2 linked regions of the Pelodiscus sinensis genome follow. The protein of the gene in region 2 purifies or fractionates together with the protein of the main gene of each other region. This does not show direct contact. Links are inferred from orthologs where the notes say so. Each region holds a gene or a part of one and is shown on either strand. Other genes may lie near its edges.

Region 1 (7,181 bases), on a different chromosome or scaffold from region 2:
AAACCAGCCGATTCTCTGTTCATTCCATTCTGATAACAATCAAACTTGTGAATAAAGTCAAGTTCCAACCCTTCCCTGTGTATTTGGCTTGTGGAATTGGCATGAAACAACACAGTGACTTGGAGATCCCATTAATGAATTCCCCGGGCAGGTTAACGTGTTCCTGTGTGTTGCCTTTTCGGAGATCTGATTTGTGTCCATTGATTCTTTCCCGTGGAGACTGTCCAGTTTGGCCAATACACACGGCAGAGGGGCATTGCTGGCATTTGATGGCATAGACCACATTAGTGGATGTGCAGTTCAATGAGCCGGATGCAGTGGCTGATGTGGTTGGGTCCAGTGATGAAATAGCTTGCGTAGACGTGTGGGCAGAGTTGGCGCCGGGGCCGATCCTCGCCTACAAACAATCCCCTAACTTCAAACAAATTCTTTCCAGTCACCACACGACACACCTCCATCATAATCAGCCAGGAATCCACCCCTGCAATCAGCCCCGGTGCCAACTCTGCCTATACATCTACACTGGCAATTTCATCCCTGGACCCAACCACATCATGATACCATCTACATGTTTTGTTAGTCTTTAAGATGTGCAGAAGGTCAGAGATAATGGTCCTTTCTGACTTTTAAATCTGGGGGTCTCTAAGTAAGTGCAAATGACTTCACTTAGGTAGGAAAAACCAAAGGCTCAGCTGTAAAATGGAGACTCGCTAGCTAAGGGCTTGTCTCCACTTACTGGGAGATGGACGCTGTAGAGTTTGATGTCCTCGGATTCAAATTAGCATCACTAGTAAGGACCCACTAAATCAACCACTGATCGTGCCCATCACCTCCAATATTCCACTGAGTTGCGAGGAGTAAGAGACGCTGATGGGAAAATTTCCCAGTGGGGATGCCATGGAAATTCGACATAAAGTATGTCGACTGCAGCTACGCTATTCACGTACCTGGAGTTGTGTCTCTTAGGTCGACAGTCTCCCGCCGTGTCGACCTGGCCTTTGGCAGGATGGCTGAAAAGGATCTGGAGGCTACAGAGAATCGCAAATTGAATCTGAGTTAACAGTGTGATAGAACTGCACAAAAAGGCTAATATTCTGGGGTGTATTAACAGGTGTGTCATATGTAAGACATGGACGGTAATTGTCCCTTTCCACTCTGCACTGGTGAGGTCTCACGAAAGCACCATGTTCAGTTCTGTGGGCACCTCACTTTAGAAAAGATCTAGACTCTCTCCAATTTGATCAGAGGGGGAAATACAAGGATAAAAGGTTCAGAAAATGTGGCCAATGGGGGAAGCTGAAAAAAACTGGGTATGCTTAGTCTTGTGAAAGGAAGAGTGGGAGCGCAGGGGCTGATAACAGTCTTCCAATATCTTCAGGGCAGGTATGAGGAGACAGCCGATCAACTGTTTTCCACGTCCGGTGAACATAGGACAAGAAATAATGGACTTAATCTGCAGCAAGGAAGAGTTGAGGAAAAATTCTCCAACTATAAGGGCAGTTAAGCTCTGCAATAGGCTTCCAAGGAGGAAAGGGGGCGGGTTGTGAATCCCCACCACCGGAGGATTTTAACAACAGGTAGGACAAGCACCTGCCAGGGGTGGTGACTTTTCAAGGTCCGGACATTGCGATGGTTCTGTGATTAATACTACGTGGGAGTCTGAAGTAGAAAGAGTCAAAGGGCAGATGGAACATGGTTTTAGTTCATAAACACGGATTGTTTCTGTTCAGATCTTTCTAAGCCCTGCTCTGCCAGGACAAAAGGAGGACCAAGGAGGCATCCGCTCTGCAACTGGTAGATGGAAGAATAATGCAAGTTGGAAGAGCCCAGGGCCTTGGGTTGAACATTTTCAGTGCGTGCTTAGGGAGGGAGGCTGACTGGTAGCTTTGGATCACAGCATGAAAGCGTAAGAAAGAACCCAGTAGCATGGGATGCTTGTCAAGGGTTCTCTTTCTGCTTCTGCCAATTGGTCTTGTCTCTCAAAATTGCGTCAAATCCCCCATCAAAGGGCTTTTGATATGAGGCGTGTGAGAAATTGCAAGCTTGGCTTTGCCATGATAAGGCGCTTTGATCATATGTCAAGAGCTGAGACGCTCAAAACTGGCATCAAAACCAAGCAACCGGCACTTGAAAAACTGGCTCCACCCTCCTGCTGGGAGGCAGAAATACTCTTTCCCAAGTTAAACTGGCCACAGCCAATAGAGGCGTGCTTGTGCTTTGCCTCTAAGCCACTTTTCCTTTGAGTGGGAGAAATCATAGGAGCTGAATTTGCCCTGTCCAGAGCTGTACATTTTGTATTCTATGCTATACAGGTTCTCATTCCCACCCCACATCACCGTGCTATCTGAGCACTTTCCAGGCATGGTTTAATGATGCAATTAACGTTAATTCTCTCTCTGTCCTCTCCCTGGGGAGAATTGCATGGGCAATAGAATGTAGGGGTTTGGTTTTGTCACTTGCAAATGTCTGTGCGGCTCTGTGTTTGTGTTAGAAAAGGCGGAGCAGAAGGAGGTTTGGGATGATCCTGTGTTCCCCGGGGGTTCACCCCACAGTTTCAGAGCAGTTCCTGAGAGCTCTGGCGCCTGCACGGACAGGCTCGTCCCTCTCCACGGTGTAATTTGATGCAACAAATCACACTGCAGCAGGAAAACATGGGTCATGCTGCGGTGTACAATCCAGACCAGTGTGGGGTAGTGTCACCTTCCCAGTTACTCTGGGTGCCTTCAGATGGTCTGCTACTGTGGCTCACAGCCCAGACACCAACAGCCAGCTGACAAGCGAGCGATCCCTTGAGGGTCTGTGCTTTGTAACTCTGGTTCAGCACCCTGATTCCAGCAGCTGGCCTGCAACACACCTGCGCCACTCTGCTTTCTATCACGCAGTTACCTTATGCCAAGGTGACCCCTAGTACCCTCCCAGGCCTGAATTTCCCCAAGGTGTCCAGACCTTTCCTGGATCATTCAAAGGAATAATAAGGTTAATTTGCTCCTCTAAAGAGACAGATTGCATAGCTTATTACTCTACCCGATTGCTTCAGTTCAAACACAGCCCTGGCCTGGTTTAGATTAAAAGGCAAAGAGGTTTATTAACAAAAGGAGGCAGGATTTTAAGTGAGTTCAGGTGTGAAGGATGGAGTTAGAAATGGCTACAAGCAAATACAAACAGGAACATGCGTCTCAGACTAATACTCGGCATCAGCCAGTTGCAATCTTTGCCTGCTACGATTTCCTGAGACTTCAACCCCTTGGCTCAGGCCTCCTGAGTCCCTCTGGTTCTCTGCCCTCCCTTTATAGCCCAATAAACCTTTGAAAAGCCTCTCTCTACGTACTTTGACTTTGCTTCAAGAGGCAGGAACCCTTCTTGGGATGCCAGCCTCCATCCCCCATGGAGGTTAGGTCAGCTCTCCACACACTGCTTCCCTCCTGCCTTTGTTTGTCTCTCATGTGAATAAGGCTCCTTGTCTCTGGCTGCTGACAGGCCGTGTAGACAAGCAAATACTTTGTGGCCATGTGGTCATGCTGCCCCCAGCTCTCTGGGGAGTGCTTGATGGCTCTGTTTCCCAAGTAGATACAGTGCCGCGCCCCTGTCACCGGCCAGCCCTGATGCATTTGCAGTTATGCATCTGCTCTCTTCAATTCCCAACCTCAAAACATGATCCCCGAGGCCATCAACGCAATCGATTGTGTGATTTGGTGCAGTATGAACACGCATTTCACAGGGACATAAGCCCCAGAGTGACGAATCCCAGTTTCCCAGGGGTGTGGCACAGGCCCCTCTTAGCTACTGCTCATGGCCTTGCAGGAGCATGGAGGGGAATACAGGTGCAATTGCCCTGAGCTCTAGCGTCCTGGTCCCAAGTGATGCACTTGCAAGGCTGCAAGTCCCCTACAGCAGTAGGCTAGGAAACTACAACTCCCAGCATCCTTTGTTCGCAAAGACCCCTGCCGCCTGAGTGCGTGACTACTCTGTGCCTGTTATTTGCGGCAACATAATTACACCTGGTGTCACCGTGACTTTGTACGGACACAGCCCTGGGAAGCAGCGAAGGGGGGGGGATGTGTGTGTGTGTGAGTGTGTGTGTGTGTCCGTCCGTATCAGGCGTGTGTGTAGGACACCTCTACTGGGCAGGTCTGCGCCTGCGCGGGGGCCTGCGTCGGCGCTTGCGCAGTGGCTCGTTCGGCGCGCGGCGGGCGCCATGGACGACGAGGAGGAGACCTACCGGCTCTGGAAGATCCGCAAAACCATCATGCAGGTGGGGGGGGGGTTCCGAGCCCGCGCGGGGGGGGCGTGTGTGTGTGGGGGGGGTTCCGAGCCCGCGGGGGGGGGGGAGTGTGTGTGTGGGGGGGGGTTCCGAGCCCGCGGGGGGGGGGGAGTGTGTGTGTGGGGGGGGGTTCCGAGCCCGCGGGGGGGGGGGAGTGTGTGTGTGGGGGGGGGTTCCGAGCCCGCGGGGGGGGGGGGAGTGTGTGTGTGTGGGGGGGTTCCGAGCCCGCGGGGGGGGGGGGAGTGTGTGTGTGTGGGGGGGTTCCGAGCCCGCGGGGGGGGGGGGAGTGTGTGTGTGTGGGGGGGTTCCGAGCCCGCGGGGGGGGGAGTGTGTGTGTGGGGGGGGGTTCCGAGCCCGCGGGGGGGGGGGAGTGTGTGTGTGTGGGGGGGTTCCGAGCCCGCGGGGGGGGGAGTGTGTGTGTGTGGGGGGGTTCCGAGCCCGCGGGGGGGGGGAGTGTGTGTGTGGGGGGGGGTTCCGAGCCCGCGCGGGGGGGGGAGTGCGTGTGTGGGGGGGGGGTTCCGAGCCCGCGGGGGGTGTGTGTGTGTGTGGGGGGGGGGGTTCCGAGCCCGCGCGGGGGGGAGTGTGTGTGTGTGGGGGGGTTCCGAGCCCGCGGGGGGGGGGAGTGTGTGTGTGGGGGGGGGTTCCGAGCCCGCGGGGGGTGTGTGTGTGTGTGGGGGGGGGGTTCCGAGCCCGCGCGGGGGGGAGTGTGTGTGTGGGGGGGGGTTCCGAGCCCGCGGGGGGGGGGGGAGTGTGTGTGTGGGGGGGGGTTCCGAGCCCGCGGGGGGGGGGAGTGTGTGTGTGTGGGGGGGTTCCGAGCCCGCGCGGGGGGGAGTGCGTGTGTGGGGGGGGGTTCCGAGCCCGCGGGGGGTGTGTGTGTGTGTGGGGGGGGGGGTTCCGAGCCCGCGCGGGGGGGAGTGTGTGTGTGGGGGGGGTTCCGAGCCCGCGCGGGGGGCGAGGGCGGGGGCCGGGTTCTGTCCTGCTCTGCTCCGCTCTCCGTGGGTGAGCGTAGCCGAACACCCCCTTGGGGCTGGAGGCCTTAGTGGATTCCCTGCGGAGGGAGGGGCTGGTCCTGGGCAGGGTGCAGGCCCGCACTGCTGGGGGCTGACTGCGGGGAAAGCAGGGCCGAGGCACCAGGCGCTATCCAAGTGCACCCAGCACCGGGCGGGTTCCAGCCGGGGTCCTGGCTGTCCGTGGTCTGGGTGGCACTGCAGGGGGCCCGTGGTGGGTTACACGAGGGCTTAGCAGTAGCCAGCTGTTGGCTGCACTCTGGTCCCTGTTGCGGGACCCGGGAGCTCCTAGAAGGTGTTTTCTCAAACAGGTAGGGCAGGTGAGCGGTGATGACGGTTAATAACATTCAGCATGTATCTTGCTGTCCTGCCTCCACAGCACAAGCCGGCTGGGCCCTGTTGTGCTTGGTGCTGTGCAGACACGATAGCCTAACCCCAAACAGCCAAAAGACTGGCCGATCAGTGGAAGCTGCCAGACAACCTTGGTATAGCCTCTGGGAGTGGGGAGACATGAACGAGGGAGGATTTGCTGGGTGGGGCGGAGGGAGACTGTAAAGCTGCATCTGTGTCTTATATGCATCACGAGTAAACAGGATTGTTGTCCTCAGTTGTGTCACGATCGGGGCTATCTGGTGACCCAGGATGAGTTGGATCAGACCTTGGAAGAGTTTAAAGCCCAATTTGGTGACAAGCCCAGTGAAGGGAGACCACGGCGGACTGACCTGACGGTGCTGGTGGCCCATAATGATGATCCTACAGATCAGATGTTTGTCTTCTTTCCTGGTGCGTATGGTGCTGTGAGAGACTGAGGATAGGTGTAAACATGAACCTTATTCTCCATGGGTGTCAGCAGCTCTCACTGGATGCAGTGCCAGCCTAGAACCGATTCTTTTAACTAGCTGCAAAAACTGCATGGAGGGGGTGGCTTAACTTTCTGAGCATCGGTTCTGAAGTGCTGGGTTTCTGGGAACTAATCCCAGGTTGGGTGGCCCAAGTTAGATCAGTTCAGCACCATTCAACATGCCACTTATCGTGTGGGTCTGTCAGAAGGCCTGCCTGTTCCTAGAAAATTCCTGGGAGCTCTTGACTCCAGCCAGCTTGGCTATCTGCTTTAGAGGCCTAACTTTGCTGGCATTATGGAGGCAAAACGTCCCTTGAAGCCAATGAACATTTTGGCTAAGTACGGACTGACTAGGCTGAACAGCCAGGCTACAATCCTGAGCGATTTATAGCAGGGTTGTTTGGCCGCTTGGCTATGTAGCCGCTCTCTGTCGTTCATTCTTTTTCTTGGTGCTGCGTAGTACAGTCTATCACATTTGGATAAGTGGCAAATGCCCAATAGGGCCTCTGAACCAGCTAGCTTGTAATGAAAACAGTTCTGTTTTCTGGAGTCCCAGCTGCACCGCTGTGGTGAATCACTTTGCACTTGCGGTTTCTGGAAGTGCAAGATGATACCTGCACTCTGAAGAGCAGCAGCATGTCATGACAAAGGGGAGGCTCTTAGAAACCCAGGAGAAGAATAGAGATGTGCTAGCACTGTTGTTCTGAGACCAGGTGCAGAACAAAGGTGCTTAAAATGCAGTCTTCTGACAGTCAGGAGTAATTGTGTTGTGACTTATTTATTCCTCAGAGGAGCCCAAGGTCGGGATAAAGACCATCAAGATGTACTGCCAGAGGATGCAGGAGGAGAACATCACCAGGGCTCTGATTGTGGTACAGCAGGGCATGACCCCCTCAGCAAAGCAGGTAGGCAATGATCCTACGTAAGGGCTGGGTGGGAGTGGCTAGGATGGGACAGGAGATACACAGCCTTGGGTGGGAGGGGGGAGAGTTGGTACCAAATGCCCAGTGGTCAGTGCCCTGGAGATTAACTTTTTTGCCTAATATTGTCCTCTTTAAAAAAAGATGTCGTC
Region 2 (7,351 bases):
GGCTTAAAAACGTCTAGGGATGGGGTTTCCACCACCTCCCTAGGTAACTCATTCCAGTGCTTCCCCATCCTCCTACTGAAATAGTTTTTTCTAATATCTAACCTAGACCTCCCCCACTGTAACTTGAGACCATTGCTCCTTGTTCTGCCACCTGTCACTACTGCGAACAGCCTTTCTCCATCCTCTTTGGAACCTCCCTTCAGGAAGTTGAAGGCTGCTGACAAATCCCCTCTCGCGCTTCTGCAGACCAAATAAACCCAAATCCCTCAGCCTCTCCTCATAGGTCATGTGCTCCTGCCCCCTAATCATTTTGGTCCCCTCTGTTGAACCCTGTCCAGTGCATCCATATCATTTCTATAGTGGGGGGACCCAGAACTGGATGCAGTACTCCTGGGCTACGTCTACACTACATTTTATAGTACCTCCTGATAGTCCAGCATATCCGATAATCTGGCACCACTTAGGTCCCAAAGGTTCCAGATTATTGGAAGTCTACGTACTTAAAAAATATTTTATTACCTTTTGAGTTTTTGTCTAGCTGTTCTTCAAACTCCTTTTTGGCTTTTCTTACTACATTTTTACACTTAATTTGGCAGTGTTTATGCTCCTTTTTATTAACCTCACTAGGGTTTGACTTCCACTTTTTAAAAGATGCCTTTTTATCTATTGCTGCTTCTTTTACATGGGGGAGGGATAGCTCAGAGGTTTGAGCATTGGCCTGCTAAACCCCAGGTTGTGAGTTTAATCCTTGCAGAGGCCATTTAGGGATTTGGGGCAAAAATTCATCAGGGATGGTACTTGGTCCTGTTGTGAAGGCAGGGGACTGGACTCAATGACCTTGCAAGTTCCCTTCTGGTTCTAGGAGATAGGCAATCTCCTTTATTATTATTATTTATTTTATTATTTTGTTAAGCCACAGTGGCTCCTTTTTAGTTCTTTTACTGTGTTTTTTTAATTTGGGGTGTACATTTAAGTTGGGCCTCTATTATGGTGTCTTTGAAAAGTGTCCATGCAGCTTGCAGGGATTTTACTTTAGTCACTGTACCTTTTAATTTCTGTTTAACTAACCACCCCATTTTTGCATAGTTTCCCTTTCTGAACTTAAATGCTACAGTCATGGGCTGCTGAAGTGTTCTTCCCACCACAGGAATGTTAAATGTTATTATATTATGGTCACTATTTCTGAGTGGTCCTGTTATAGTTACATCTTGGACTAGATCCTGTGCTCCATTCAGGACTAAATTGAGAATTGCCTCTCCCCTTGTGGGTTCCTGTACCAGCTGCTCCAAGAAGCAGTTGTTTCAGGTATCAAGAAATTTTGTCTCTGCAATTTGTCCTGAGGTGACATGTAATATGGGGATAATTGACAGTCAATAGGGGGATAATTGAAATCCCGCACTATTATTGAGTTCTTTATTTTGTTAGCCTCTCTAATCTCCCTTAGCATTTCATAGTCACTATCATTGTCCTGGTTAGGTGGTCAATAATAGATCTCTACTGTTATATTCTTATTAGAGCAGAGAATTACTATGCATAGAGATTCTATGGGACATGTTGATTCATTTAAGATTTTTACTTCATTTGATTCTAATTTTTTTTCACATATAGTGCCTCGTCCACCTCATCAACCTGATCCAGTGAGCTATAGCAGACACCAACCACAACATCACCCCTGTTGCTCCTACCTCTAAACTTAACCTATAGACTCTCAACAGACTTTTCTCCCTCTATATACTGGAGCTCTGAGCAGTTCTATTGCTCTCTTACATACAGTGCAACTCCTCCTCCTTTAGCCATGGGCTGGCTGCTCATCTTGATACCCTGTCTCTGAGCATGGTGGGGTTGGAAATAGAAGAGCATGCCTTGTCCTGGCCATAACATGGACCTGAGAGCATCACTGCTCAGTGTTGTGTCCATAGTTTCAGGAGCACAATCAAACAAGAAATAAGAGTAAATTATGGGATTGAACTGAGGGATTTCTGGGAATTCAACACCCACAGATTCAAAATTCCCTGGGAGGAATGAGGACCCCACAATCCATAGCAGAACTCCAGTCTTTACCAGACAGTGTGCCAGAAGGCGGCATGAGAGATGCAGGATGCCAGCCCATGGAGCCATGTATCTTTTGTGGATACAATCTGATGCCATGTACACCTTCTGCCCAAGGGTGAACACTATCTTCTGATACAGGGCATCCAAGACCTGCATTCATTGAAAAGGGCTGTTGCCTTGGGAGCAGCAGTAGTTGTCAGTGTGCCCCCAGGTGGTGCTAAGACGACCAGGAGAAAGGCTGTAGCACTGGGAGCAGAGGATTTGTCTGTGCCTGAAGGCAGTGCTAAGAGGACAGGGGAGAAAGGCTGTGGCACTAGGAGGTGGAGAGGGGTTGTCTGTGTCTGCAGGCAGTGCTAAGATTCTGGGGTGCTGGGCTGTGCAGATTGGGAGAGAAAAGCTAGATTGCCCTGGGGAGCTGCTGGCGGCGGCGAGGCGGGCAGTGGCTGAGCGCTGGTAGGCAGAGATGCGCTGGGCAGCGCAGGCTGTAAGGGGAGGCGCTGGGGGGCGGAGGGGTGTGGCCAGGCAGCGCTAGTACTGCCCAGCCCCCTGCCCGGCCACACCCCTCCGCCCCCCAGCACCTCCCCTCGCAGCCTGTACTGCCCAGCGTCCCGCCCTCTAGCGCTGCCTGGCCACGCCCCTCCGCCCCCCAGCACCTCCCCACGCAGCCTGTACTGCCCAGCGTCCCGCCCTCTAGCGCTGCCTGGCCACGCCCCTCCGCCCCCCAGCACCTCCCCTCGCAGCCTGTACTGCCCAGCGCCCCGCCCTCTAGCGCTGCCTGGCAACGCCCCTCTGCCTCCCAGCACCACCCCTCGCAGCCTGTACTGCCCAGCCCCCCGCCCTCTAGCGCTGCCTGGCCACGCCCCTCTGCCTCCCAGCACCTCCCCTCGCAGCCTGTACTGCCCAGTCCCCCTCCGCCCCCCCTCCGCCCTCAGGCTGCGAGGGGAGGTGCTGGGGGATAAGTGGGTGTGGCCGGGCAGGGGGCTGGGCAGTGCAGGCTGCGAGGGGAGGTGCTGGGGGGGCGGAGGGGCGTGGCCAGGCAGCGTTAGAGGGCGGGGCGCTGGGCAGTACAGGCTGCGAGGGGAGATGCTGGGGGGCGGAGGGGTGTGGCCGGGCAGGGGGCTGGGCAGTACAGGCTGCGAGGGGAGGTGCTGGGGGATAAGGGGGTGTGGCCGGGCAGGGGGCTGGGCAGTACAGGCTGCGAGGGGAGGTGCTGGGGGATAAGGGGGTGTGGCCGGGCAGGGGGCTGGGCAGTACAGGCTGCGAGGGGAGGTGCTGGGGGATAAGTGGGTGTGGCCGGGCAGGGGGCTGGGCAGTACAGGCTGCGAGGGGAGGTGCTGGGGGATAAGGGGGTGTGGCCGGGCAGGGGGCTGGGCAGTACAGGCTGCGAGGGGAGGTGCTGGGGGATAAGTGGGTGTGGCCGGGCAGGGGGCTGGGCAGTACAGGCTGCGAGGGGAGGTGCTGGGGGATAAGGGGGTGTGGCCGGGCAGGGGGCTGGGCAGTACAGGCTGCGAGGAGAGGTGCTGGGGGATAAGGGGGTGTGGCCGGGCAGGGGGCTGGGCAGTACAGGCTGCGAGGGGAGGTGCTGGGGGATAAGGGGGTGTGGCCGGGCAGGGGGCTGGGCAGTACAGGCTGCGAGGGGAGGTGCTGGGGGATAAGGGGGTGTGGCCGGGCAGGGGGCTGGGCAGTACAGGCTGCGAGGGGAGGTGCTGGGGGATAAGGGGGTGTGGCCGGGCAGGGGGCTGGGCAGTACAGGCTGCGAGGGGAGGTGCTGGGGGATAAGGGGGTGTGGCCGGGCAGGGGGCTGGGCAGTACAGGCTGCGAGGGGAGGTGCTGGGGGATAAGGGGGTGTGGCCGGGCAGGGGGCTGGGCAGTACAGGCTGCGAGGGGAGGTGCTGGGGGATAAGAGGGTGTGGCCGGGCAGGGGGCTGGGCAGTACAGGCTGCGAGGGGAGGTGCTGGGGGATAAGGGGGTGTGGCCGGGCAGGGGGCTGGGCAGTACAGGCTGCGAGGGGAGGTGCTGGGGGATAAGGGGGTGTGGCCGGGCAGGGGGCTCGGCAGTACAGGCTGCGAGGGGAGGTGCTGGGGGATAAGGGGGTGTGGCCGGGCAGGGGGCTGGGCAGTACAGGCTGCGAGGAGAGGTGCTGGAGGGGCGTGGCCAGGCAGCGCTAGAGGGCGGGGTGCTAGGCCGCCTGGGGGAACTGCTGTCGCGGGGTAGGAGCGCTGAACATCCGGGCCGAAGAGTAGCCTGGAGCGAGCCGTTTCCGCTTCCGGTCCCAAGCACCTTTCTGTGTGCCGGAAGCGGAAGGGACAGTAGCGAGATGGCGGCTGCAGCGGAGGAGGCGGCCCCACCGGTCTGCGTGCTGGTGCTGGGCATGGCGGGCTCCGGGAAAACCACCCTGGTGCAGGTGAGGAGATTCGCGCTCCGCGTGAGGCGGGGGCTCCGCTTTCCGGGGGTGGGGGGACGGGAAAAGTGTGTGTGTGGGGGGGTCACTCACGTCACGTCACATCGCCCTCTCCTCCGCAGAGGCTCACCGCCCATCTGCACAGCCAGGGGCGCCCGCCCTACGTCATCAACCTGGACCCTGCGGTGCACGAGCTTCCGTTTCCTGCCAACATCGGTGAGTCGCTCGCTCCGCCCTCGGGCGGGTCTCGCGCTTTTCCTCACGTGCAGTTCGCTGTCTTCTCAGCGCTCTGCGGTGTCTGTGCGTCTTCGTTCAGAGCCGGACGCCGCGCCCAGGCGTGCACAGCTGTGCAGGGCACCATAGGGATGCCCTAAGTTTAGTGGTGCACTGTGTTATGCATAGGGATGGGACGTTAGGCAGCTACAGGCAGCACTAGCTCTGGTGGCCCATCTTTTGGCCCACCACAGGTTGTAAAGTAAAGCCATTGTGGAGAAACTAAATGATTTCTTTGCTTCAGTCTTCATGGCTGAGGTTGGGGAGAGTCCCGAATCTGCACCGTCCTTTGTGGGTAATGAATCTGAGGAGCTGTCCCGGATTGAAGTGTTGTTAGAGGAGGTTTTGGAACAGATAGAAAAACTTTGTTAACAAATCTCCGGGACCGGACGGCATTCATTCAAGGGTCCTAAAAGAACTCAATAGCTCAGCAATTTCCCATTTATCTGTCGTTTGTAACCTATCCTTTAAACCGTCTTCCGTACCTAATGACTGGAAGGTAGCCAACGTGACACCAATATTTAAAAAGGGCTCTAGAGGCCATCCTGGCAATTACAGACCGGTAAGTCTAACTTCAGTACCGGGCAAATTAGTCGAAACAATAGTGAAGAATAAAATTGTGAAGCATGTAGAAGAACATAATTTGTTGGACAAAAGTCAACATGGTTTCTGTAAAGGGAAATCCTGTCTTACTAATCTGTTAGAGTTCTTTGAAGGGGTTAACAAACATGCAGACAAGGGTGATCCAGTAGATATAGTATACTTGGATTTTCAGAAAGCCTTTGACAAGGTCCCTCACCAAAGGCTCTTGTGTAAATTACATGGCCATGGGATAAGAGGGAAGGTCCTTTCTTGGATTGAGAACTGGTTAAAAGACAGGAAACAAAGGGTAGGAATAAATGGTAAATTTTCAGATTGGAAAGGGGTAACTAGTGGTGTCTCCCAAGGATCAGTCCTGGGACCAATCCTCTTCAACTTATTCATAAATGATCTGGAGAAAGGGGTAAGCAGTGAGGTAGTAAAGTTTGCGGATGATACAAAACTGTTTAGGATAGTCACGACAGAAGCAGACTGTGAGGGACTCCAAGAAGATCTCACCAAACTGAGTGATTGGGCAACAAAATGGCAAAAGAAATTCAATGTGGATAAGTGTAAAGTAATGCACATTGGGGAAAAATAACCCCAACTATATGTACAGTATGATGGGGGCTAATTTGGCTACGACAAATCAGGAAAGAGATCTTGGAGTTATCGTGGACAGTTCTCTGAAAACTTCCACACAGTGTGCAGTGGCGGTCAAAAAGGCAAATAGGATGCTAGGAATTATTAGGAAAGGGATAGAAAATAAGACCCAGAATATCTTACTGCCCCTGTATAAAACTATGGTACTCCCACATCTTTAATACTGCGTACAGATGTGGTCTCCTCACCTCAGAAAAGATATTTTGGCCTTGGAAAGGGTTCACAAAAGGGCAACTAAAATGATTAGGGGTTTGGAACAGGTCCCATATGAGGAGAGGTTAAAGCGACTGGGACTTTTCAGTTTAGAAAAGAGGAGACTGAGGGAGGGATATGATAGAAGTATATAAAATCATGAGTGGTATGGAGAGGGCCAATAAAGAAAAGTTATTTATTAGTTCCCTAAATAGAAGAACTAGAGGACACCAAATGAAATTAAATGGGTAGCAGGTTTAAAACTAATAAAAGAAAGTTCTTCTTCACACAGCGTGTAGTCAGCCTGTGCAGCTCCTTGCCAGAGGAGGCGGTGAAGGCTAGGACTATAATAGAGTTTAAAGAGAAGCTAGATAATTTCATGGAGGTTAGGTCCATAAAAGGCTATTAGCCAGGGGATAAAATGGTGTTGTTGGCCTGTGTTTGTCAGAGGCTGGAGAGGGATGGCAGGAGACAAATCGCTTGATAAATGTCTTCAGTCCACCCTCTCTGGGGCACCTGGTGCTGGCCACTGTCGGCAGACAGGATGCTGGGCTAGATGGACCTTTGGTCTGACCCAGTACGGCTGTTCTTATGTGCCCAGCCACTGGCACTGCTCACTGTTTCCTTCTGGTCAGCTCCCCCGCCCCCCCCCCCCCCCTCGTATCTTTCAGCTAGCTCACAGCTTTACAGGGCCATTCCTGGGATGTTGGGACAATACCCCTCCCCCAAGTTCCAGGCTCTTGCACCCTGCTTGCACCCTCCATCCCCCTATTCCTTTCCCCAGTGCCCCTCCCCCATACTCTTGAGTGCAGTGCTGCAGTGGGAGCCTGCAAAATAGAATGAGGTGAGGCCCTGTTGCACCACTGCTTTCCATCAGTGAGTGTGGGAGTAGGCCTGACCCCTATTGTCAGCACCAGCCCGTCTCTCTTCCGCCCCCCCCCCCCCCCCCCATCCTCTGGGTTGCCCTGGGGCCTGTGTTTCTGCATCTCTATGATGTTTGGGGCCTAGCACAGAGTAGTTGCTGGGATGGCTCCACCTGTCCCCCTTCCTGTTCCCCCACTAACCTCTCCCTTGTTCCTGTCCCCCACAACTCCTCTTCTTCCTCCTCCCCACCACAGCCCTGAGCATAGTCACCCCACTGCAGAGGGCGCCACCCTCCCCCCCTTCCCCAGTGGGTGCTCTGGCTGCATA

What was found. The genes of interacting proteins can lie anywhere in the genome.
Region 1: the proteins of GPN1 (region 2) and POLR2E purify together in Homo sapiens (affinity purification with mass spectrometry; 3 studies listed by BioGRID and IntAct, with this or other methods). This does not show direct contact. The link is inferred for Pelodiscus sinensis from reciprocal best matches to the Homo sapiens genes GPN1 and POLR2E.

What each region holds. Positions count from the first base shown.
Region 1 is NC_134729.1:16,562,468-16,569,648, reverse strand, and holds the start of POLR2E (DNA-directed RNA polymerases I, II, and III subunit RPABC1), read left to right. Parts: upstream 1-4,093; 5' UTR 4,094-4,195; coding exon 4,196-4,252; intron 4,253-5,876; coding exon 5,877-6,051; intron 6,052-6,898; coding exon 6,899-7,014; intron 7,015-7,181. UniProt on the Homo sapiens protein: DNA-dependent RNA polymerase catalyzes the transcription of DNA into RNA using the four ribonucleoside triphosphates as substrates.
Region 2 is NW_027465901.1:117,954-125,304, reverse strand, and holds the start of GPN1 (GPN-loop GTPase 1), read left to right. Parts: upstream 1-4,256; 5' UTR 4,257-4,369; coding exon 4,370-4,456; intron 4,457-4,575; coding exon 4,576-4,669; intron 4,670-7,351. UniProt on the Homo sapiens protein: Small GTPase required for proper nuclear import of RNA polymerase II (RNAPII). May act at an RNAP assembly step prior to nuclear import.